Stegostoma tigrinum: one gene and its partners. The protein of the gene in region 2 purifies or fractionates together with the protein of the main gene of each other region. This does not show direct contact. Links are inferred from orthologs where the notes say so. Each region holds a gene or a part of one and is shown on either strand. Other genes may lie near its edges.

The links. The genes of interacting proteins can lie anywhere in the genome.
Region 1: the proteins of FACT complex subunit SSRP1-like (region 2) and SRSF protein kinase 1-like fractionate together in Homo sapiens (co-fractionation; 3 studies listed by BioGRID and IntAct, with this or other methods). This does not show direct contact. The link is inferred for Stegostoma tigrinum from reciprocal best matches to the Homo sapiens genes SSRP1 and SRPK1.
Region 3: the proteins of FACT complex subunit SSRP1-like (region 2) and dhx9 fractionate together in Homo sapiens (co-fractionation; 3 studies listed by BioGRID and IntAct, with this or other methods). This does not show direct contact. The link is inferred for Stegostoma tigrinum from reciprocal best matches to the Homo sapiens genes SSRP1 and DHX9.

The regions. Positions count from the first base shown.
Region 1 is NC_081374.1:21,668,770-21,677,193, reverse strand, and holds the start of SRSF protein kinase 1-like, read left to right. Parts: upstream 1-4,949; 5' UTR 4,950-5,028; coding exon 5,029-5,044; intron 5,045-5,171; coding exon 5,172-5,232; intron 5,233-8,424. UniProt on the Homo sapiens protein: Serine/arginine-rich protein-specific kinase which specifically phosphorylates its substrates at serine residues located in regions rich in arginine/serine dipeptides, known as RS domains and is involved in the phosphorylation of SR splicing factors and the regulation of splicing.
Region 2 is NC_081399.1:1,281,545-1,290,099, forward strand, and holds the start of FACT complex subunit SSRP1-like, read right to left. Parts: upstream 3,504-8,555; 5' UTR 2,599-3,503; coding exon 2,539-2,598; intron 1,166-2,538; coding exon 980-1,165; intron 1-979. UniProt on the Homo sapiens protein: Component of the FACT complex, a general chromatin factor that acts to reorganize nucleosomes. The FACT complex is involved in multiple processes that require DNA as a template such as mRNA elongation, DNA replication and DNA repair.
Region 3 is NC_081361.1:44,889,707-44,897,342, reverse strand, and holds the start of dhx9 (ATP-dependent RNA helicase A), read right to left. Parts: upstream 3,476-7,636; 5' UTR 3,365-3,475; intron 1-3,364. UniProt on the Homo sapiens protein: Multifunctional ATP-dependent nucleic acid helicase that unwinds DNA and RNA in a 3' to 5' direction and that plays important roles in many processes, such as DNA replication, transcriptional activation, post-transcriptional RNA regulation, mRNA translation and RNA-mediated gene silencing.

The DNA of each region.
Region 1 (8,424 bases), on a different chromosome or scaffold from region 2:
GAAATGTTAGGAAGTGTGGAGATAATCTTAGCCAAAGAGTTAGATTTAAGGAGGGATTTGAAGGACAGAGATGTGGAAAGGAATTCTGCAATGTTGAAATTAAGCAACTGCAGACATGACTGGCAATAGTAGCGTACAAAACTAGAAGATGCACAAGAGACTTGTGCAAATAAATTGGAAAGTTTGGGGATAGATTTTCAGCAAGTAAAGGTTATACAGCAAGGAAAGGGCAAAATGACGGCCAATCCTAAATGTAAAGATCATAATCTTAAATTTGAGGCATGGGTGGAATCAGTCAGCAAGATAGGCTGGGGATTAAGTAGTTTCACCTTAGGATGCAGGCAGCATAGCTCCGAATAAACTTGACTTTATGGAGTTTGAAGGACACATAGTTATCCAGAAGAGTTGTGTGCAGAAGTGACAAAAATAATATAAGCGAATGTGCCAAATAGGTCAGAGGTAATCAGAAGGAGACTGACAGTGCTTTTTGTGAAGGATAGGATATATAATTGGAAACTCTGAAGGGACTGAACAGGTTGCCAAGGTCTTGAACAGTTTGTTTCAACTTAAACCAACAGCCAGGGAGGAGAATGAAGTCGGTGTCATGGATATGGAGTTTGTGACAGGGCCAAATTTGATAACTTGATAGCTGGAAGAGATAATTGCTCATCCAAGACTGGAGGTCAGACAAGGAATATGTTAACACAGAAAATGAAGAAGGGACAGAGGTAGATGAGGGCAAAAGAAATGATGAAGTGATAGCCAAAGTTGATGGCCATGAGATAATTCCACTGTGATGTTGCAAGAATGGCAAGAGACTTTATTGCTCAAGTTAAGGGGGTCATAGCTTCTCCCTTTCTTGGCCTCCTTTCAGTCAATCACAACAAATATACAAGTACACAAGAAATATATTTTTGTTTTGCTTCTCTTTTAGCATCTAGCCATGACACTTCAATCAACTTAGTTAACCCAGATTTAAAATGGAGAGCCAATTCTAGTGGTTTCTTGAGTGAAGGACAGTAGTGTTTTAGTACATCAAAGAAATAACGAAAAGTGACAAACACACGGACAAAAACACTGCTGTGAACTTACAGAGAAGGTTAGAGGTGAATCTGTATTTAATATAGGTTGGGAAATAAAGGCGAATGTTAAGTTATAGTTTTCCAGCGTCTTCGAGTTGTATGAAGGCAGTACGACTGAGATGTCATTGGAAGAGGTTCAGGGATTCCCCCATGTCATATGTTGCAGATGTCAGGAGAGTAAACAGATTGTGGTACATGTATGGATTAATTAATGAATTTATGCCAGTGGGATAGATTCATTCCTGCCATAGGGATAGAAATCAGTACACAGACTGATCTTAAGGGACTTGATAGGACAGGCTGTTTCTCCTTGTGCAAGAGTCTAGGACCAAAATGCATATTCTCATAAGGGGTCACATGTTTAAAACAGAGATGACAAGGAATTTCTTCTCTCTGAGGCTTGCAAATCTGTGTAATTATTTATTGCGGAGGGCTGTTGAGGCTGGGTTGTTAGGTATAGTCAAGAGGAAGATAGATTTTTAATCAGGAAGGAAATCAAGAGTTAAGGAAAAGGACAGTGGAATTGAGGATTATCAGATCAGTTTTGATCTCAATGAATGGTGGAGCAGGCTTGATGTGTTAACTGGGCTACTTCTGCTCCATATCTTATAGCCTGTAACTTGTACAGTGCAAATATTACTTGCCACTTGTCAGCCTAAGCCTGAATGTTGTCCACATCTTGCTGCATCTGGACATGGACTGTTTCACTATCTGAGGAGTCACAAATGATACAGAACATTGTGCAATGAGCAGCAGTCATCCTCATTTCTGATATTACGATGAAGGGAAGGCCAAGAGGATGGTGGTGTCTTTTCCCAGCTCTGGTGCAAAACCATTTATCTGAAACATTAACTGTTTTTATTTCCACAGTATTACAGAGTTGTTACTGAGTAGAACGAAGCCATTCATTCCTGCACTGGGTCTCTAAGAGAGCATTTGATTTAGAGTCATTTCTCTGCATTCTCACCAAAATCCTACACATTGTTCCTTTTCATTGTTCTGTCTAATTTGCTTTTAAACATCTAAATTGAACCTGTCTCCATCACTCTCCAGACAGTGCATTCTGGATCTTAACTACTCATTGCTTGACTTATATCACTTTTACTTCTTTTACTAATTAGTTTAATTACGTGCCTTCTTGTTCTCCAATCTTTCATGAGTGGAAACATTTTCTACTAATTTACTTTGTCCAGTGCTGTCATCATCTTAAGTACTTCATTCAGATCTCCTCTCAGTCTTCTCCTCTCCAAGGAAAGCAGTCCCAATGTCTCCCATCTATCTTCATAACTGGAATTCCTCATTCCTGGAATAACTCCCATAAACATAATCTATAGTTCCGCGAATGCCTTCATTGTGAATGCCTATTTTGTGAGTTATGTGCCCAAAACAGACATGGTACTTAAGCTGAGACTGAATGTAAGTTTAGCATATCCTACCTGTCTTTACTCTATTTCCCCGATTAAAATAAAAGGTGTGTTTTAATAGCTGGTCACCCTTTGTGACTAAAAACATACACAACCAAGTTCCTCTGCTTCTGCACTCATTTTAAGACCATAAGAGCATAAGACATAGGAGTGGAAGTAAGGCCAGTTGGCCCATCGAATCCACTCCACCATTTAATCATGACTGATGGGCATTTCAGCTCCACCTATTCATACTCTAACCGTAACTCTTAATTCCTTGCGAGATCAAGAACTTATCAATCTCTGCCTTGAAGACACGTAACATCCCAGCCTCCACTGCGCTCCGTGGCAATGAATTCCACAGGCCCACCAATCTCTGGCTGAAGAAATGTCTCATTTCCATTCTAAATTGACCCCCTCTAATTCTAAGCCTGTGCCCACGGCTCCTAGTCTCCCCGCGTAACAGAAACAACTTCCCAGCGTCCACCCTTTCTAAGCCATGCATTATCTTGTAAGTTTCTATTAGATTTCTCCTCAACCTTCTAAACTCTAATGGATACAATCCCAGGATCCTCAGCCGTTCATTGTATGTTAGGCCTACCATACTAGGGATCATCCGTGTGAATCTCTCCTGGACACTCTCCAGTGTGGCCCAAAATTAGACACAGTATTCTAAATGGGGCCTAATTAGAGCTTTATAAGGTCTCAGAAGCACATCGTCGCTTTTATATTCCAAACCGCTTGAGATAAACGACAACATTACATTCACTTTCTTAATCATCAACCTGCAAGTTAACCTTTAGAAAATCCTGGACCAGCATTCCCAGATTCCTTTGTACTTCAGCTTTATGAATTTTCTCAACGTTTAGAAAATTGTCCATGCCTGTATTCATTTTTCCAAAGTGCAAGACCTCGCATTTGCTCACATTGAATTTCATCAGCCATTTCCTGGACCACTCTCCTAAACTGTCTTAACTCTTTCTGCAGCCTCCCCACCTCCTCAGTACTACCTGCTTGTCCACCTAACTTCGTATCATCGGCAAACTTTGCCAGAATGCCCCCAGTCCCTTCATCCAGATCATTAATAAATAAAGTGAACAGCTGCGGCCCCAACACTGAACCCTGCGGGACACCACTTGTCATTGGTTGCCATTCCGAAAAAGAGCCTTTTATCCCTAATCTCTGCCTTCTGTCAGACAGCCAATCCTCAATCCATGCCATCAGCTCACCTCGAACACCATGAGCCCTCACCTTGCTCAGCAGCCTCCTGTGAGGCACCTTGTCATAGGTCTTTTGGAAGTCTAGATAGATAACATCCACTGGGTTTCCCTGGTCTAACCTACTTGTTACCTCTTCAAAGAATTCTAACAGGTTTGTCAGACACGACCTCCCCTTACTAAATCCATGCTGACTTGTTCTAATCCGGCCCTGCACTTTCAAGAATGTAGAAATCTCATCCTTAATGATGGATTCTTGAATTTTACCAACAATCGAGGTTAGGCTAATCGGCCTATGATTTTCCATCTTTTGTCTTGATCCTTTCTAAAACAAGGGGGTTACAACAGAAACTTTCCAATCATCTGGGACGATCCATGACTCCAGTGACTTTTGAAAGATCACAACCAATGCCTCCACTATTTCCTCAGCCACCTCCCTCAGAACTCTAGGATGTAGCCCATCGGGGCCAGGAGATTTATCAATTTTTAGACCTTCTAGCTTTTCTAGCACTTTCTCTTTTGTAATGCCTACCATACTCAATGCTACCCCTGACTCTCCTTAATTGTCCGGATATTACTCATGTCTTCCACTGTTTTAGAGTTGCACCCTTTACTTCAAGTTGTCTCTCCAGATCTTCCTTCAAAAATGCATTGCTTACACCTGTATTTTGAATTTGCCACCTACCTGCCCATTCAACATATCCCTGTCTATATCCCTCTCGAAAGTGCTACACTACTCTCCCTAGTTTACAATGCTTCCAAGTTTTGTATGATTTGCAAATATTGAAATCATACCCTTCACAGCATAGTCTATGTCATTAACGTACATCACAAAAAGGAAAGGGCCCAACACTGATTCCATCCCAAGCCTTTGCCTGATGGGGAGAAAATCCATTAAGCATTACTCTCCCCCCCGCGTCATTCAACCAATTTTGGAACTATATTATTACTGCACCTATCATTCCACAAAGTCCAATACCGCCTGAACTACTGAATATTTCCAGAAATTACTCTAATGATAAGAGAATTTGCAGATTTAAGTAAGGACACTCCAAAAACTTGGACACGAAGAACCAAAAATATCAAGCGCCTCAACTAACGTCGACTGACGGCAGTGCTAACAGGAGGTTTGCCCACCACCTCGCGGTCGGAGGTCGGAACAGCAGCCGGGGAACGGGCCCCCACCCCACCTGGCGGTCAGAGGTCGGAACAGTAGTTGGTGGGTGGTTCCGGGTGGGGAGGAGGGGCGGGATAAGAGAACGATAGTTAGAAAAAGCAGTGGGTTTGCGCTTGCGCGCTGGTGATTGTGTGGGGACCGGTTCCAACATGAGCTCCCGAAAAGGTGAGGGAGCCTTTCAGCCGGCTTGGCCTTACCGGTGGGGTGGTGTAGTCACAAACATCCGTTTTGTATACCCTCAATTACCGCTCTAACCTTCTTCCTTCTCTTTCGGATTTTTCCCCCCCCCCAGTTCTGGCTCTGCAAGCGCGCAAGAAGCGAAGCCGAATCAAAAAGGAGAAGATTCTGAAGAAGTGAGTGGGGATGGTTTCGGAGCCGGGGCTGCTCGCACTCTGTCGCCCGCCTGCTGGCAGCGCCAGGCCGAGGCTTACGCTGCGGCCCGGGCCTTGTGGGCTGATTCTAGACCCTCACCTATTTCTCCTGCCCCCCCCCCCCCCCCCCCCCATCCGCCACACACCTTTCCCCATTGCGACCATCTGGTCGGTTCTTGATTTTGTTGCTGTTGCAGCGTCTGGTTTGGGATCTACTGTGTGGATGGATGGATGGTAGTTGGCTGGATGGGGGTTGGTGGCTTGGGGTACAGGGTTGGAGAGTGTTTTTTTTAAAGCCGTGTGCAGCCCACAAAGAGCCTTTCATCCACGCAAGGCGATTGACTTTTTTTTTACTTTGAAAGTTTTATTACGTTCCATTGACAAAAAAGTGATACATAAACGTGGATTGAGTTGTTGCAATCTGCACAAACTTTGCGATTAATTCTCGTTCTTTTTCCTGTAGTTGAGTTGTTCAATATTTTAATTTTTGCTGAAGCCACAGAGAGGACATGAGTTTTTTGAGAAGTGAGGTGGTTGAGGCTGTGATTTAAATAAACCTCTTCTGTTTCGTTCTACTTTCTACAGTCAAGTCTCTGGTTTCTGTTGTTTGAAGACGTGTTTGCCACTGCGCCGTCAAAGTTGTTGAGGGTGTTTTGAAGCTTCCAGAGGGTATATTTGAAATGGCCTCATATTGACTGGAGTCATGAGGTTGAGGTTGAGATATCTAGGAAAACCAATTAACAGGTTGAGTAGAATTGTAAAGTGGCAATGATGTCTTCAAGTATGATGAGGTGATCTTATAGAAAGATGGTTGACCATTGGTTAGGTGGTCTTGAGCAGGCTTTTTACAGTAAGGGATTTTGGTGAAGGATGCTATTCCTGATGTTGACCAAGAGAACATCGAAAAAGTTAAGTCTGCAGATGATTCAGATCTAGACCAAACTTTCTACAGCTAATAAGGTAGGCCAGAGATTGTTAATGGTATAGAATTCAAAATTATTGGTGCATTAGGATTTAGCACGCTGTGTTTGGTCATATAGTGTTAGCTGAAGCAAATCTGTTTTTGACAGGCTAGCTCTATAGGTTATGATTGTCCAGTCAGTTAGGTAACTGCACTCTGATCTTTCAGGGTATTGCTTTTGAAATCTGTTCACGATCATTTTGCAGCTTGGTAACCATGAAAACAATTTGCTTCTGTGATGTGGGATCATAATGTGAGTTACATCACAAAGCAGCTTTAACGGATCCATTTTCTTAAAGGGCTTTTGAAACTGGATGTAAAAAAGGCTTGTTATTAATTGGAATACTGATAGAATGTCTTGATAGATATGTCTTGATGTATTGTTGAAAGATAACTTACTGTTCCTTGTCAGTTCATAACCTCAGTTACTTCGATTCAATGTGGTTATGATGAGCACTTAGCAGCTGTGGAACTTAAGCCCTTTCCACTTCTGTGAAGTGCAGCAGGAAACTTTTTGCATGCAGAAACAGGCTTTCTGCCCTACTTCCAGCAAAATAAATCCCATTGGATTTTGACTTTTAATTCCACCTTGTTTAGTTCCTCAAGCTGTATCTGGCCTCCTGGATTGGTAATGTTGAACTGCTGTAATGGTGGGTATGTGCAATATAAAGGGCTATGTAAAGGTTTTTCCCCCTTGTTTGGCTGTTTATAAAAAAGATCAAATACCAGAAAAAATTCAGAATGAATACTCCTGTGTTACCATTTTTGCTTCAGTGTATTTGTGTGGTGATCTGAAGGCAATATCACTTCATATTTTGGGCAGCAGTAGAATACAGAACAAATACTACTTTAAGTACAAAGAAATACAGGAATAAATCTAATGAAAACATTCCAATATACTGAGAAACAAAAACATTCTCTTTGAGGTGGAAATCTTCATAGCGAGGTTATCAGTTAAAATACCCTAAGAAAATGGGTTATCAGTGTAAAATCCTTTGTCGTGAATAGTTGAATAATTTGCCTCTTCAAGGAAAATTGGATAAACTGTTGAAATGAAGATTTCTCTTCAATTAGTCTGACAGAGCTAGTACAGTTGCAGGAGATTAAACTCTTCTAAGCATGGTTCTAAATATTTTATACTTGTGATTGCAACAGTTTTCTAGTGTTTCTCCAGAATGAGCAGAATACATCAAATCTGTCAACCTCTAGGCAGAATCCATATTGACTTATGGATCTTAGCAATTTTTGGGTTGTTTAGGTTGGGCATGTAGACTGACAATATCTTTTTTATAATAAAGAATACAAGGGGCAGTTTTATAAGAAGTAGAAATGTTGCAAAATAACCCAGGAAATTCTTCCGAGATGCTCCAAATCCATTGGCATAACTTTACTGGAAGTGGAGCAGAATGTCAGCTTGTGCATGTAAGTAAAGGTCCTGTTGCACTTTATTGAAGTGGAAATGGCTCCAAGGACTTTTCCAACCAAATATGTCAGTGAGCAGACCAAGTTGGGTGATAGTTTTAAAAAAAAATCCAGTTTTCAGCTTGAGCTGATACACTGTCCTTAGAGTAAATTCAAAGGAATTACTCATGGAAATGAAAGTGTCTTGCTACTTCAGTGATTTCGCAAAATGCATTGAAGTGTTTTCACTTATAACTGAAGATTTAATTGGCACCAATAACTGCTGTATTTTAATCTGTCATTTTAAATCTGTTGCTTTATGACTATTATAGACAGTGGATTTCAGGAAATTTGATTACTTTCTGGTTATACCTGCTGGGCAGTGTAAAACCTGTGCTTTCAGTGATTGTTTCATTTGAGCATGGGTACGAAAGTCATGTGAGAAAATTTCAAGCAGGAAATCTATAAAATACATGCTTCTTGTTCACATGCAAGGTTACTATGTTTACAGAAAGGATGTTTGAACCGTGAATATACTGCAAGGGAAAAATTACTTTCTTTTGTTCCAAATGAAAGTGGATTAACTATTTCTTGTTGAATATTCAGAAGGGAAGGATTCTGTTGGTTTGAATTGCTACAAATTATGTATAGTAGTTTAGAATTGTTTTAGAATAACTAATCTTTAGGTGAAATTAGAAGATTGAGATAGCTGGCAGATTATAATTAATGGGACAAGATATGTTGGATTCCAGTTCTTGGTATCAGTTTGCTTTTGCTGATCAAGGTGAAGAGATGTTTACCTGCGTGCCCAG
Region 2 (8,555 bases):
CAGCTTGTGACTAAAAATAAGACTATTAGTATGCTATCATTTACTGCACGACGAGCTAAACAGAATCTAAGGATGTCACACGACAGTTATTCGGGGCAAACGGTGAGACCACATTTCAAACACTATGTGCCTTTCGTTCTCTTCTTTTAAAGGGACGTTTTGAGTACATTGGAGGTGGCTCAGAGGAGACTGGCTGACAGGATAGCAGAATGAGTGCAAACTACTCTACTTTGAAACATCAACTCTGTTTCTCTCTCTACAGACGCTGCTGGGACCTGCTGAGCTTCTCCAGCATTCTCTGTCTTTAGTTCAGGATCTGCACTTCAGAGCATATGCACGAGAGTGGGACAGAAGATATCGACCAGCAAATACAGATGGCTATTTGCTGGGAGCACCGTGCACAGTTCCGACCTCCGTATCCCTCAGTTAGGCCCTCACTGGGAGCACCGTGCACAGTTCCGGTCTCTATATCCCTCAGTTAGACCCACACTGGGAGCACCGTGCACAGTTCCTGTCTCTATATCCCTCAGTCAGACCCACACTGGGAGCACCGTGCACAGTTCCTTTCTCTATATCCCTCAGTTAGACCCACACTGGGAGCACCGTGCACAGTTCCTGTCTCTATATCCCTCAGTCAGACCCACACTGGGAGCACCGTGCACAGTTCCAGTCTCTATATCCCTCAGTTGGCTAACACTTTGTGGAAGTGTGGGATACCGTGCACCTACTCATGTGCGTGGTTAAGGGAGGGAGTGGGGCAGATGGAGCAGGACAAGAGGAGATCAGCTCTAAGATCAGCAAGCACAGGGATAGATGCGATGGGTTGAGTGGCGTGACTGCAGACAGGAAAACAAGTTGTCAAGACAGAATTCAAGAGCTCTCCTGACCAGAGGTGATTGGGTGGCGGGGAGAAAGAGGGGCCAGGAGGGAGATTCTCCTTCCCAACAGCCTCAGGCTTGGTCTGTCTTTCCACACTCACCCCTTCCCGGAATCCATCAAACTTGCAGAGGTTGCCATTCTTTAGCTGGAGCCTGATGCCATAACCCCTGGCAACACGCCGCCACACTCCATCACTGACATCCGAGGCTTGGACACTGTCCACTTTCCCGGTCTTACTGTTCTTGAAGACAATTGTCTGACGGCTCAGACGCAGGCGTCCATCGATCTGCACAGGGTTGTGGGTAGGAACAGCTCACAGGTTACAACACAATCCCTGACAGAACTCCCTCCTCACCCTCACCACCAGGGACTCAGACTTCAGGCAGGGCAGTGAAGGTGGTATTCGGTACGCTGGCCTTTACTGTTCCATGAATCAAGCGAGTATACCGATTGGGAGGTTATGTTACAGCTGTACAGTGAGCCTACTTTTGCAATACTGCATTCAATTCTGGGCTCCCTGCTATAGGAAGGATGGTGTGAAACTCGAAAGGGTTCAGAAACAATCTGCAAGGATATTGCTGGGTTTGGAAGGTTTGAGCTCCTGGGAGAGGCGGAATAGGCTGGGGCTATTTTCCCTGTACTGTTGGAGGCTGAGGGTGACCATATAGAGGTTTATAAAATCATCAGGGGTATCGACAGGGTAAATAGCCAAGGTCTTTTCCCCATGACGGGGGGGGGGGGGGGGGGTCCTAAACTAGAGGAGCATAGGTTTAAGGTGGGAGGGGAAAGATTTAAAAGGGGCCTAAGGGGCAACTTTTTTTTTGCACAGAGTGGCACAGGTATGGAACGAGCTGCCAGAGGAAGTGGAGGAGGCCGGTACAATGACAACATTTAAAAGGCATCTGGATGGGTCTATGAATAGGAAGGGTTTAAAGGGGTATGGGCCAAATACTGGCAAATGGGACTAGATTGATTTAGGACATCTGGTCCCCGTGGACAAGTTGTACCAAAGGGTCTGTTTCTATGCTGTACATCTCTATGACTTCAGGTCACGTGCAGCTTCTCTGGGAGGGTTTTCCATCGAGCACAAAGGCTCAGGGGGAGATGCTCACTATCATGAGGGGTCTCCCCTGGAGTGGGGTAGGGTGCAGAGAGGAGACTATGGGACAGAGATCAGGAAGTGGTCATTATGCAAATTTCCAGCTCAGCCACTCACCACCCCAAGGACAGATGTGACCCCAACCCCCATTCAAACGGAGATGATGACCTAGTGGTGGTATCATGAGCCAACTAATCCAGAGATCTGGAGTCAAATCAGCAGCAGATGGTGGTTCATCCGGTTCTCTAGTCTCCTTCAGGGAAAGAAATCTGCTATCGTCACCTGGTCTGGCCTAGACACACAGCAACGTGGCTGACTCTCAACGGTTAGGATCAGGCAAGAAATGCTGACACAGCTAATCATGCCCACATCCCATCAACGAATCCAAAAAATATCTAAGATCATACCAAGGCCACCCCCCAGGTGGATATCACCCAGACAGTGTATCTTCCACCACCTCATCCCACCAAAGACAGGCATTCACTTCTGCACAGTCCTGACGTTGAGATTTCCTCTCCAGCCACGACCCAACCCCCCCTTACCATCTTGCGAGTACATACCATTGTTCCTTTCAACTCCTGGTAGATGTCATTGTATTCGAGGATGTCAGAGCTCGCCATGTTGCCCTATACGGGAAAGGACCCCACCTCGTATCAGCAGCTATACGGTCAGGCTGCCAGCAGGGCTGCAAAGGGGACAGAGCAGCAGCAGCAGCAGCAGGCACTGGGCAGTAGCTACAACCTGCTCCTTTCACAGGTGACCCTTTGCCCAAGGGCCCCCCTGCTCTAAATCAAAGGCCTGTTTGACTCTCTCCGACTGGGCACCCAACTACAAATGGTCTTTCTCCGTCTGGGATCTAAGTACCTGGGCAAGCCCCTGCTCCAAAACACTGGGTTCCCAGTCTCCCCGGAGACCTCCTCCTGTTCCTGCTGGGCCTGGTGAACCCCCTCTGGCCCTGGGGGAAGGGGGCCTGCTGAGACCCCCTCTGGCCCTGGAGGGGGGGGGTGGAAGAAGGGGCCTGCTGAGACGCCCTCACCTGGGGGGGGGGGAAAGAAGGGGCCTGATGACCCCCTCTCACCTGGGGGGAGGGGCCTAGTGACCCCCCTCTCACCTGGGGGGAGGGGCCTAGTGACCCCCTCTGGCCCTGGGGGGGGGGGAAGAAGGGGCCTGATGACCCCCTCTCACCTGGGGGGAGGGGCCTAGTGACCCCCCCTCTCACCTGGGGGAACGGGCCTAGTGACCCCCGCTCTGGCCCTGGGGGAGGGGTCTAGTGACCCCCCTCTCACCTGGGGGAGGGGCCTAGTGACCCCCCTCTCACCTGGGGGGAGGGGCCTAGTGACCCCCCTCTCACCTGGGGGGAGGGGCCTAGTGACCCCCCTCTCACCTGGGGGGAGGGGCCTAGTGACCCCCCTCTCACCTGGGGGGAGGGGCCTAGTGACCCCCCTCTCACCTGGGGGGAGGGGCCTAGTGACCCCCCTCTCACCTGGGGGAGGGGCCTAGTGACCCCCCCTCTCACCTGGGGGGGAGGGGCCTAGTGACCCCCCCTCTCACCTGGGGGGAGGGGCCTAGTGACCCCCCTCTCACCTGGGGGGAGGGGCCTAGTGACCCCCTCTCACCTGGGGGGAGGGGCCTAGTGACCCCCCCTCTCACCTGGGGGGAGGGGCCTAGTGACCCCCCTCTCACCTGGGGGGAGGGGCCTAGTGACCCCCCCTCTCACCTAGGGGAGGGGCCTAATGACCCCCGCTCTGGCCCTGGGGGAGGGGCCTAGTGACCCCGCAGCCGTTTGTCCTCTTCTCCCCCTCAGCTGCCCCCTACCCCCCGACCCGGACCCGGACCCGGACCCGGACCCGGACGATGCGGGAGGAGACGCTGCCACTCGGCCCGGAGCTGATGCGCGCCCGCTTCTACCCGCCAGCACCACGTGAGCGCCAAGAGCAGAACGGAACCGGAAACCGCCGACCTCCCGGCCGTAAACACGATGGAGGGGGTCACGTCAGCGCCGGACCGGAACCGGAAACGAATGCCCGAGGCTCATCCAACAATAAATACGTTGGGGTCACAGAAGCACCGCCCCAGACCGGAAGCGGAAATCGGAGGGTGGGTTCAGACACGGTTGAGCGTTTATAAAAAGTTTTTTTTCGGTATATTTTATCTCTTTTTCTCTCTCTCTCCCCCTCTGGCTCCTTCTGTTCATTTAAAGTGGAACTAGAAGCCGGAGCAGTCCCTCTGGTTTATTTTTCTCTTCATGACCTTCCTTCCCGCGCTCAGGTTTGGAGGGGTCAGAGGTCAGGTACAATGTCAGAATTTTATTTAAAAATTAATAAACAAGAAAAAAAAACAAATTAATGATCATAAATAACAGTAAATAATAAACAATAACGTTGTAAATGACCAAAGATGACGAATAACAGTAGACAATAACAAATGTACAATGAATGATTAAAATAAACAAAAAAAGAATAAATATTGATTCATAATTTTAAATAATAGATAATGAACAAACAATAACCAAAAATAAACATATAGCAAATCGTGAGATAGTCATTAATAGTAAATAATAAACAGTAAATATAAATAACAACGGTAAACATTAATAAAAAATATACAGTAAATAGTGTATTATATACAAATATTAATAAACACTAAGAAATAAATACTCAGTGAATAACATACAATAACAATTCTAAATAATTAATAGTAAAATGAAGAATGAATAACTATTGAGTATATAAAATATGGGAAATAAATAATTATAATAAACCATTCAATAAATGCAGAGTAAATAATGATCAACGATAATAAACTGTGAACAAAAAAATAGTAATATAATAATGGTAAATAATACCTGTGAATAATTAATTGAAATGACAATCGCGCTAAATAATAAATTACTAAATAAACAAATAATAGAGTCCTACAGCTGTACAGTACAGAAACAGACCCTTCGCTCCAACCCATACATGCTGACCAGATATCCTAAATTAATCTAGTCCCATTTGCCAGTATTTGGCCCATAGCCCTCCAAACCCTTCCTATTCATGTAACTATCCAGATGCCTTTTAAATGTTGTGAGAGATTAGAAATGTTGTTTCTGCAGATAATGATGAATGGTGTGGTCTTGCAAAAGAGGACCATTACATAAATAGTCACAAGATTTTGTAGCAGAAGTTTATTATTAACCAACGATTAGGTTTTGCAAAGGCGGCAGTTAGCACGACCACCTGCATAACTTGTCCTTTCCAGTCTAACCCAATAAGGAAAGAATAAACAGGGGGATGGGGTTTTAGGCCGGCAGAAAAGGGGAACAATAAACAAGGGCGGCCCGATAGGATGGAGAATGATAGGATAAGATTGGACCAATGGGACCAGGGAGGTGTGATTCCGCAACTTGTAAACTGTGTAAGAATGCTTCACATGCTTTGTAGTGTGCGCCTGTATAGCATGATCGCACAGAATAAAATTGTTCTTGTTTCCAAGGCTTTGTCTCAGGCTGAGTTTGTGAGCAAGTTTTGGTTCTCACAATGTTTTAATTGTACCAGCTTCCACCACTTCCTCTGGCAGCTCATTCCATACACACACCACTCTCTGCACGAAAAAGTTGACCATTAGGTCCCTTTTAAATCTTTGCCCTCTCACCTTAAACTAATGCCCTCTGGTTTTGGACTCCCCTATCCTGGGGAAAAGATCTTGACTGTTCGCCCTATCCATGCCCCTCATGATTTTATAAACCTCTATAAGGTCACCCCCTCAGCCTCTGATGCTCCAGTGGAAAACACCCCAGCCTGTTCAGCCTCTCCCTACAGCTTAAACCCTCAAACCACAGCAACATCCTTGTGAAACTTTTCTGAACTCTTTCACATTTAACAATATCCTTCCGATAGCAAGGAGACCAGAAATAAGGACAGTATTCCAAAAATGGCCTAACTGACAATCTGTAAAGACAACCAACAACGTGACCTCCAAACTCCGAGACTCAACACACTGACCAATAAAGGCAAGTGTACTAAACATCTTCTTCACTATCCTGTCTATTTGCAACTCTAGGTACTATGAACCTGCACTGCAAGGTCTCTTTGTTTGGCAACATTCCCCAGGACCTTACTATTAACCCTGTAAGTCCTTCCCTATTGAACAATGCTAAACAACAATAAGTATTTATAATAATGAACAATAAATGTAAACGAAAACAGTATGAACATCCTAAATTTTAAATAATGGCTAACAATACAGATGTGGTAAATTCTAGTAAAGGATAAACAAATACATGGTAGACAATAAATATAAAAAAACTAAATGTTAAATAACAATAAATAATATGCAAGAAATGAATGACAAATAATGTTAAACTACACAAAATAAATATGCAATAATAAATAATTATGAATAATAACAAATATTTAACACTATTAAACAAGTATCTAATAATAATTATTACCAACAATAAGTAATAGACAATAAATAATAATAATTATGTTGAATGACAAACAACAAACATTAACTTAATAGAAAATAATGATGAAGTGACGCGTGTTGTAAATTACGTTCCCTCTCTGGGAGCATGGACTTCATAGTCAGACCCTCACATAAGTGAGTTCTACTCCACAGAACCCTTCTCTTCCTACGTTGACTCAATTTTTCTCCCCTTGTCCAGCCCCTTGCCACTTACATCCGCAATTCCTCTGACCTTTATGTCAGTTTCGGAATTTCTAGTTTGCATGCTCCAGCTGCCTCCTCTTTCCAATGGACGTGCAATCCTTCTACACATCCACACCCCGGTGGTCTCAGGGTTCTCCGCTTCTTGGAGAAAAGGCCTAAACCGTCCCCACCCACCAACACCCTCCATTGCTTGTCCTCACCCTCAACAACTCTTTCAACTCCTCTCATTTTCTTCAGGTTAGAGGGATGGCCATGGGTACCTGCATCGGACCTAGTTATGCCTGAATATTCATGGGGCACGTGGAACATTCCTTGTTCCAGTCCTATTCCGGCCCGCACCCACAACTCTTTGTCTTGTATCTTGATGATATCATCAGTGCTGCCTCCCTCTCTGGTCCGGAATGGGAAATGTTTAATCTATTTGCTTATACTTTCCACCCAACCCTCACTTTCAACTGGTCCATCCTGCTTTCCCTCCCTCAACATCCGTTTCTATTTCTGCGGACAGACTGGCCACTAATATCTAAGTACAAACCAACCAATTTCCACCGCTACCTGACTATACATCCTCACAGCCTAGTTCCTGTAAAGACTCCAATCCATTCTCCCGTTTCCTCTCTCTCTATTGCATCTGTTCTGGACCAAACAAAACAAATTTCTGGTTCAATGGTCACGCAGTTATCATGGATGTTGATACCGGCACAGAATCATCAGTGATTGCAGAACCAGACTTTAACAAGATCTGAGATAATAAAATGTGAGGCTGGATGAACACAGCAGGCCAAGCAGCATCTCAGGAGCACAAAAGCTGACGTTTCGGGCCTAGACCCTTCATCAGAGAGGGTCTAGGCCCGAAACGTCAGCTTTTGTGCTCCTGAGATGCTGCTTGGCCTGCTGTGTTCATCCAGCCTCACATTTTATTATCTTGGAATCTCCAGCATCTGCAGTTCCCATTATCTCTTTAACAAGATCTGCTCTGGACTATTTGTGCAAACCCTTGGACGGACTGAGATGATGTGGTGGGGAACCGTCACAAAGTAGGGTTACGACTTCACTTCCAGTCTCCTTCAATAAGCAGTTAGTGCAGTTATCACTGCACTGATTGTAGTAAAAGGTTCAGGCTCAACCTTGATGGGGGTGAAATTGAGAAAGATCCACCTTGATTGGCTCACATTTTTCGATTGAAAAATGGCTGCCTGAGTGAAGTCTGAAGTAAACACCCAGAAATTTTTCAGGAAAGTCCAGGGACTGTGGCAGGAGCCAAGGCAAACTTACACATTTGGAGCAGGAAACAATCCCACAATCCTGCAAGGGCCCACCCGGTGCCTTAGGGGTGAAGGTCGAAGCAGAAACCAGGAGGCTGGGAAGTGAGGGAATTATTAAACCAGCCCAGGGTGTGGAATGGGCAGCACCGGTCGTACTGATTGTGAAGCTGATAGATCAGTTCACATTTGCATGTGGGTGGGGGTGGGATGTGTGTGCCTGGAGCTGTCCTTCAGAAAGCAGGAAATGAGTCACACCTACTGCAAATACAACTAGATAAGGAGTCCCAGAAACTAATACCCATACAGGTTTGTCCCAATACACGAGGCTGCCGTTTGGGGTAACATCAGCCTGCATCCTTTCCTAGTGGGCCATGGAGAACATTTATAGAATCCCTACAGTGTGGAAATGGGCCCTTCAGCCCAACAAGTCCACACCGACTCAGAGCATCCCACCCAGACCCGTCCCCTATAACCCACTGAATCTACACACCCCTGAACACTATGGGACAATTTAGCATGGCCAATCCACCTAGCCTGCACATCCATGGACTGTGGGAGAAAACCGGTGCACCCGGTGGAAACCCACACAAACACGGGGAGAACACGCAAACTCCACACAGACAGTCACCCGGGGTGGATTCGAAACCAGGCCCCTG
Region 3 (7,636 bases), on a different chromosome or scaffold from region 2:
TAGAGGCGATGCTTGATTGAATTTCACCGGAAAACACAAATAAATATAATTCAGGACAATAAAATGTGAGGCTGGATGAACACAGAGGGCCAAGCAGCATCTCAGGAGCACAAAAGCTGACGTTTCGGGCCTAGACCCTTCATCAGAGAGGGGGATGGAGAGAGGGAACTGGAATAAATAGGGAGAGAGGGGGAGGCGGACCGAAGATGGAGAGAAAAGAAGATAGGTGGAGAGAGTATAGTTGGGGAGGTAGGGAGGGGATAGGTCAGTCCAGGGAAGACGGACAGGTCAAGGAGGTGGGATGAGATTAGTAGGTAGATGGGGGTGCGAGGAAGGGATGGGTGAGAGGAAGAACAGGTTAGGGAGGCAGAGACAGGTTGGACTGGTTTTGGGATGCGGGGGGGGGGGGGGGGAAGAGCTGGGCTGGTTGTGTGGTGCAGTGGGTGGAGGGGGCGAACTGGGCTGGTTTAGGGATGCAGTTGGGGAAGGGGAGATTTTGAAGCTGGTGAAGTCCACATTGATACCATTAGGCTGCGGGGTTCCCAGGCGGAATATGAGTTGCTGTTCCTGCAACGTTCGGGTGGCATCACTGTGGCACTGCAGGAGGCCCATGATGGATATGTCATCTAAAGAATGGGAGCGGGAGTGGAAATGGTCCATTCATGACCTCATCACCTCAGGGGACCTCCCACCCACAGCCTCCAAACTTATTATTCCCCAAACCCGCTCGGCCCGTTTCTATCTCCTTCCCAAAATCCACAAACCTGCCTTCCCTGGTCGACCCATCGTCTCAGCCTGCTCCTGCCCCACCGAACTCATCTCCACCTATCTGGACTCCATTTTCTCCCCTTTGGTCCAGGAACTCCCCACCTACGTCCGTGACACCACCCACGCCCTCCACCTCCTCCAGGACTTCCAATTCCCTGGCCCCCAACACCTCATCTTCACCATGGACGTCCAGTCCCTATACACCTGCATTCCGCATGCAGATGGCCTCAAGGCCCTCCGCTTCTTCCTGTCCCGCAGGCCTGACCAGTCCCCCTCCACCGACACCCTCATCCGCCTAGCTGAACTCGTCCTCACACTCAACAACTTCTCTTTTGACTCCTCCCACTTCCTACAGACTAAGGGGGTGGCCATGGGCACCCGCATGGGCCCCAGCTATGCCTGCCTCTTTGAGGGTTACGTGGAACAGTCCCTCTTCCGCACCTACACAGGCCCCAAACCCCACCTCTTCCTCCGGTACATTGATGACTGTATCGGCGCCGCCTCTTGCTCCCCAGAGGAGCTCGAACAGTTCATCCACTTCACCAACACCTTCCACCCCAACTTTCAGTTCACCTGGGCCATCTCCAGCACATCCCTCACCTTTCTGGACCTCTCAGTCTCCGTCTCAGGCAACCAGCTTGGAACTGATGTCCATTTCAAGCCCACCGACTCCCACAGCTACCTAGAATACACCTCCTCCCCCCCACCCACCCTCCTGCAAAAATTAGATCCCCTATTCCCAATTCCTCCGCCTCTGCTCCCACGATAAGACATTCCACTCCCGCACATCCCAGATGTCCAAGTTCTTCAAGGACCGCAACTTTCCCCCCCACAGTGATCGAGAACGCCCTTGACCGCGTCTCCCGTATTTCCCGCTACACATCCCTCACACCCCGCCCCCGCCACAACCGCCCAAAGAGGATCCCCCTCGTTCTCACACACCACCCTACCAACCTCCGGATACAACGCATCATCCTCCGACACTTCCGCCATTTACAATCCGACCCCACCACCCAAGACATTTTTCCATCCCCTCCCCTGTCTGCTTTCCAGAGAGACCACTCTCTCCGTGACTCCCTTGTTCGCTCCACACTGCCCTCCAACCCCACCACACCCGGCACCTTCCCCTGCAACTGCAGGAAATGCTACACTTGCCCCCACACCTCCTCCCTCACCCCTATCCCAGGCCCCAAGATGACATTCCACATTAAGCAGAGGTTCACCTGCACATCTGCCAATGTGGTATACTGCATCCACTGTACCCGGTGCGGCTTCCTCTACATTGGGGAAACCAAGCGGAGGCTTGGGGACCGCTTTGCAGAACACCACCGCTCAGTTCGCAACAAACAACTGCACCTCCCAGTCGCAAACCATTTCCACTCCCCCTCCCATTCTTTAGATGGCATGTCCATCATGGGCCTCCTGCACTGCCACAATGATGCCACCCGAAGGTTGCAGGAACAGCAACTCATATTCCACCTGGGAACCCTGCAGCCTAATGGTATCAATGTGGACTTCACCAGTTTCAAAATCTCCCCTTCCCCAACTGCATCCCTAAACCAGCCCAGTTCGCCCCCTCCACCCACTGCACCACACAACCAGCCCAGCTCTTCCCCCCACTGTATCCCAAAACCAGTCCAACCTGTCTCTGCACCCTAACCGGTTCTTCCTCTCACCCATCCCTTCCTCCCACCCCAAGCCGCACCCCCATCTACCTACTAATCTCATCCCACCTCCTTGACCTGTCCGTCTTCCCTGGACTGACCTATCCCCTCCCTACCTATACTCTCTCCACCTATCTTCTTTTCTCTCCATCTTCGGTCCGCCTCCCCCTCTCTCCCTATTTATTCCAGTCCCCTCTCCCCATCCCCCTCTCTGATGAAGGGTCTAGGCCCGAAACGTCAGCTTTTGTGCTCCTGAGATGCTGCTTGGCCTGCTGTGTTCACCCAGCCTCACATTTTATTATCCTGGAATTCTCCAGCATCTGCAGTTCCCATTATCTCTAAATATAATTCAGTCCTAATTTTCTCTGTATTCTACCATAATAATAATGCCAATGGTTGGTTTAAAGTCATCACAAGTAGGTGAGGAACGAGTGCGACGATTATGAATTTTCATTATGATCATGAGCACATTAATTTATAAAGAGGTTTCCGATTAGAATATTTTATGTTAGCACGCATTACCAAAATTAAACTTGTGTTCTTCAAACAAAAGACTGCGTATACTGAAAACAAATAGAAACGGTTAAAAGGTGGTGGTGGAGGTACCTAGTTCACGTTCCGAGTCCGAGTCCAATTTGACTGTTAAGAGTCAAATTGGACTCGAAAACAAAACCTGATTTCTTCCCTCGAGGTCCAAACCTCAAAATTTTAAACTTCTACAGTTGGTGCTGGAAGGGTAGCCATTCCCTGAAACCATGAGTGACTCGTGACAAAGTGCGCTGTGCGGAAGCTCTGACAACCATATCACGCACAGTCTGCAACGAGTCCGGAGACCGTCACCTCAAAGGAGGGGGAATCATCGGCGGTCACCAAACCCCACTCTCCGCCATCCCTCACCCGCTTCCCCGCCATCAAACCCGGGCGCCACTCACCGTAAGCCAGCTGCCGGGTTCCACGAACCGCCGCTGGCCTCCGACCCGGGATCCGGGACAACAAAATGGCGTCACCCCCTTTCCCCAAAGACAGCAACTTCCACAGGAAGCGGGGGAAAAGAAGTCTCCACACCTTCCTTACATTTTACAAACTACCAATTGCTGTAAAGGCCGGAAATCATTTACATTTCAGTAATGTACTTCTACTGTAATTTTAAAATACTAACACCAAGATTTATTAGGTTTTACCTCAACTTTGTTTTGTTCTCCAGCTTCCTACATCCACCCCCACCTCCAACCAGTTGGTTTGGTCAAAGACAATCTCGGATGAAGGCGTGAGGTGCTACTGAATCAACAACTGCTTTCATTTATAGAGCGCTTTTAATTCAGCAAAGTGAAAAAGCATCACAGTAATATTATGAAACGAAATTGTGCACAATCATGGAAAGTACTATTAATTCAGATAAACAAAAAAAATTGGCCAAGAAAATGGGGTTCTTGTACCACTATCTCCCATATATTTTCCACATTTCCGCTCTTTCCCTTCCTACAGAGAGCCACACACGCTTCCTTTTCCGTCTTCCCCCAAATTTTCACATTAAACGTTACATGGCTGTAACACATCTTCCCCTTTCAACTGCCCTGCGGACCATTCCAAAACGTCCTCTTCCCCTTTCCTCCCGTCTTTCAAGTAAACAGGGAGATCAAACGCTTGCCCTTTTACCTAATCTCCCTTAAACAGTATCCAAGGCCATCCATTTAGACGAAATAGGATTGCCTGTGTCAATTCTAATTTTGTACACTCGGAAATCGAACGAGGTTAAATAATCTTGTGGAACATTTCGTTCAGTTCACAAGCATATGAGACCAAATTAGCAATCATTAGTCATTTTCAATCTCCATCTTGTGATGTGTTACCGTCTATGAGCCTCCTGCTGTTCCAACGTAGCTCAAGGAGTCTAATCTTGGAGTATGTTGCATATAGGGAATGAACTGAGGGGTAAGTGGTAGAGGAGGGTACAATTACAACATTTAAAATGCATTTGGACAGGTTCATGAATGGCAAAAGTTTAGGGGGCCTGTTTGTCCGGAAATGAGCCAAATTCAGGCAAATGGAACTAGTTTAGTTTGGGAAAACTGGTCAGAATGGACGAGTTAGAGTGAAAGATCTGTTTCTGTGCTGTGTGACTGAATCTTTCCATTGGGCCCTTTCCAGTATGAAAATACCTCAACAATTTCGGTGTATAATTTCAAAGGCTTATCTAAATATTTGTTTTATTTTTCTGTTATCCCTTTATTTGCTTTTCTTACTTTTTGAATTTTCCTGGTTTGATGAAATGTTATCTCTTTCCCTGGAAGCCTGTTGAATATATCAAAATTTTTTTGTGTTTATTTCAAATTTTCTGTAACTGCAGTATTTTACTTTTTTTTAAACATGTCTCTTAAAAGAGGAAAGAGAGGTGGGCCAGAACAGCAACAGATGAGCTCACGTGGACCAGAATCAAGCAATGTTACAAGGGAGATCTTAATGATGATCATGGTCAGCAGTGCCTCTATGATGGCCCACCCACCTCCAAAGCATAAAATTTCAAAACTTAGTTCCACTTGGGGGCTTGAGTACAAAAATCAAGGCCCATATTCCAGGGCCAAATACTGAGGGAGTGCTTCAGTATTGAAGGTGCAGTCATAGAATGAGATGTTAAAACTGATTTTCTACCTGTTCAGATGGAATTTTTAAATTCCTTGATGGAATATGGGTGTCACTGGCTAGGGTGGCATTTATTTCTCATCCCAGATTACCCTAGAGAAAGTGTGGTGAGTAGCTTTCTTGAACTTGCTGTTCCTGAGGTGTAGGGGGGTTACACACAACTGTTAAGAAGGGAATATCAGTTGATGACCCAGTGACAGTGAAGGAATGACAATATTGTTCCAAGTTAGGATCATTGCAAGAGCAAAGTTTTTGGCGAAGATCTGTAGCTCTGATGGGTGAGGTTGTTAACTTGCTTGCCGAGCTGGCCTGTTCTCGTTCAGACATTTCATCAGCATGCTAGGTGACGTTATCAGTGGAGCCTCCGAGGAAGTGGTGTTATTCTAGTCCGCTTGGATTTTATACTGTTTGGTCCATTATGATGAGTAAACTACGATTAAGGTACTGTTAAGGAAATTTGATGAGTTACTGCGCTGCATCTTGTAGATGCACACTGCTGACACTGCATCAGCAGTGAGGTGGGTGAGTGTTGTACATGATGGATGGGGTTCCAGTGAAGTGGACTGCTTTGTTCTCTATGGTGTCAAGCTTCTCAAGTGATACTGGAACTGTGGTGAAGCAGAGAAGAGTATTCTATCACACTCTAGACTTGTGACTTGGAGACGGTGGAAAGAGGTTACTGATGAGACAGGAAGTGAGTGATTCACTGCAGAATTCCTGGCCTCTGACCTGTTCTTGTAGCCACAATATTTATATTGTATTCCAGCACTTCTTGATTATTCATAAGTTTTACGTTGGTTCTGTTCTCAATTTTGCTTTGGAGCTGTGAACTGGAAATTTTGAGCTGAAGATGACTAGTGGCCTTTGTGGAACAGCTTGTGGGTAAGAGAAAAAGAACAAACCTACTAAGATTTGTTTGTTTGAGAGGTTAGGCCTAGAGACTAACTGAAGGATAACTTTTGATTAAAAGGGTTCCTACCACCACAAAGACCCCAGAAGGAGCATTGTGTTTAAACAGATAGCAGAACTTGGCTATTAACCTGCTCAGTACCTGGGAAGTGATGATGTATTCAAGCAGATAGCAGATGCTGAATAGTAATTGAGGTTTCAGGAAAAGTTGGGCATTCTCTCAGGGCAAAGTTGAAGATTTTTTTAAAAAATGTATTTTCTGGGGAGATGGGTTTGGCAGCTAGTGACACAGAATGAAGATTTGAAAGCTCCCAGACTAACCCCCCCCCACACACTATGGAAGCTGAAAGAGTAGAAAGCTGAGCTACCTTTAACTGAGTGAACTGAAAAGGTAGCTATGATCGGTGTTCCCAAAAAAACAGCTAGGCAGTCCATATTTATGTCCATGAAACAACACTATCAAACATTTAAGTCATCAGGACAGTTTCATTATTTTCTTTATCCATTAACTATTGGTTTATCTGTCTGCCTTTAGTGTGGATGTAGGCTATGAACAAATGTTTCAGGGTAAAAGCTTATACATCAATTAGATGACTTTTTTAATCACAAATTATTGTACATTTTAAGATATAAAACTGGTGTCTGGAATTAATTATTCACAAAGTCAGAGATTTTTTATTCAAAAATCTGGTTAAGAGCCATTGCACTATCTGTCCGGGTATTTCGAACGGTTAAATTTTACTGTCTGGTGAATAGAGTTGGAAAGACTGATTTGGTTCAGACTTGTCTCCACATCGTAACAATTGCTTTTGCAGTTCAATTTCTGGCCAATTGTAACTGTGTAGGACATTGTCCCCAGTTATTTAAATTACCAACACTCAACGATTTGATTTCCTTGCCTTGTTTTGAGATGGTCAATGCTTGGCACTTGTGTGGAAAAAAATGTTACATACTCAAGTCTGGATAACGGCCAGGTCATGCTGCACGTGGAAATAGACTGCTTCAGTACTTGAGTCATGAATGATACTGAGCATTCTGAAGCGGAACCGTTCATTATTGATGGAAAAGGATGGAAGGATGTAGAAGAAATTATTTTGAGAAAAAGTAGGAATAATCCTGGTTGGGTGGTCAATATTTATACCTCTGTGAGCACTGAAAACAAATTCTGGTCTTTATCAAATTGCTGTTTGAGAGAGATCACTAAGCAAATATCAGCCACTGCATTTTCATTACGATATTTCAGAAACAACTTCACTGATTGTAAAGCAGTTTGAGACATCTGGTGACTGCAAAAGCAGATGTAAATGCAAGTTCTGTTTGTTAAAAATGGTATAGAATTTTATTAGGGCATTTGTCCTGAGAGGGTTAGCTCGAAAGTTTTGAAAAAGAAAGACGCCACCCAATGATATAAATGACTGTCTTTGGGATAAGTTAGTTAATTGTTCCAGTTTGTAATTAGTCAGTTCTACAAACCACAGTCATGTAGCATAGACCTAGTTACTGTGTTGCAACTGATACAGTCTTACTTACGTTGTCACAAAGTTTACTAGTCTTAGCTAATGTAATCTAGCATCTTATGATTGTGTAATAAACTTCCTCATTGCACAAGTACATTGCGGGTTCGGCTGAAGATTTACTCATGTTTAAACCTGCAT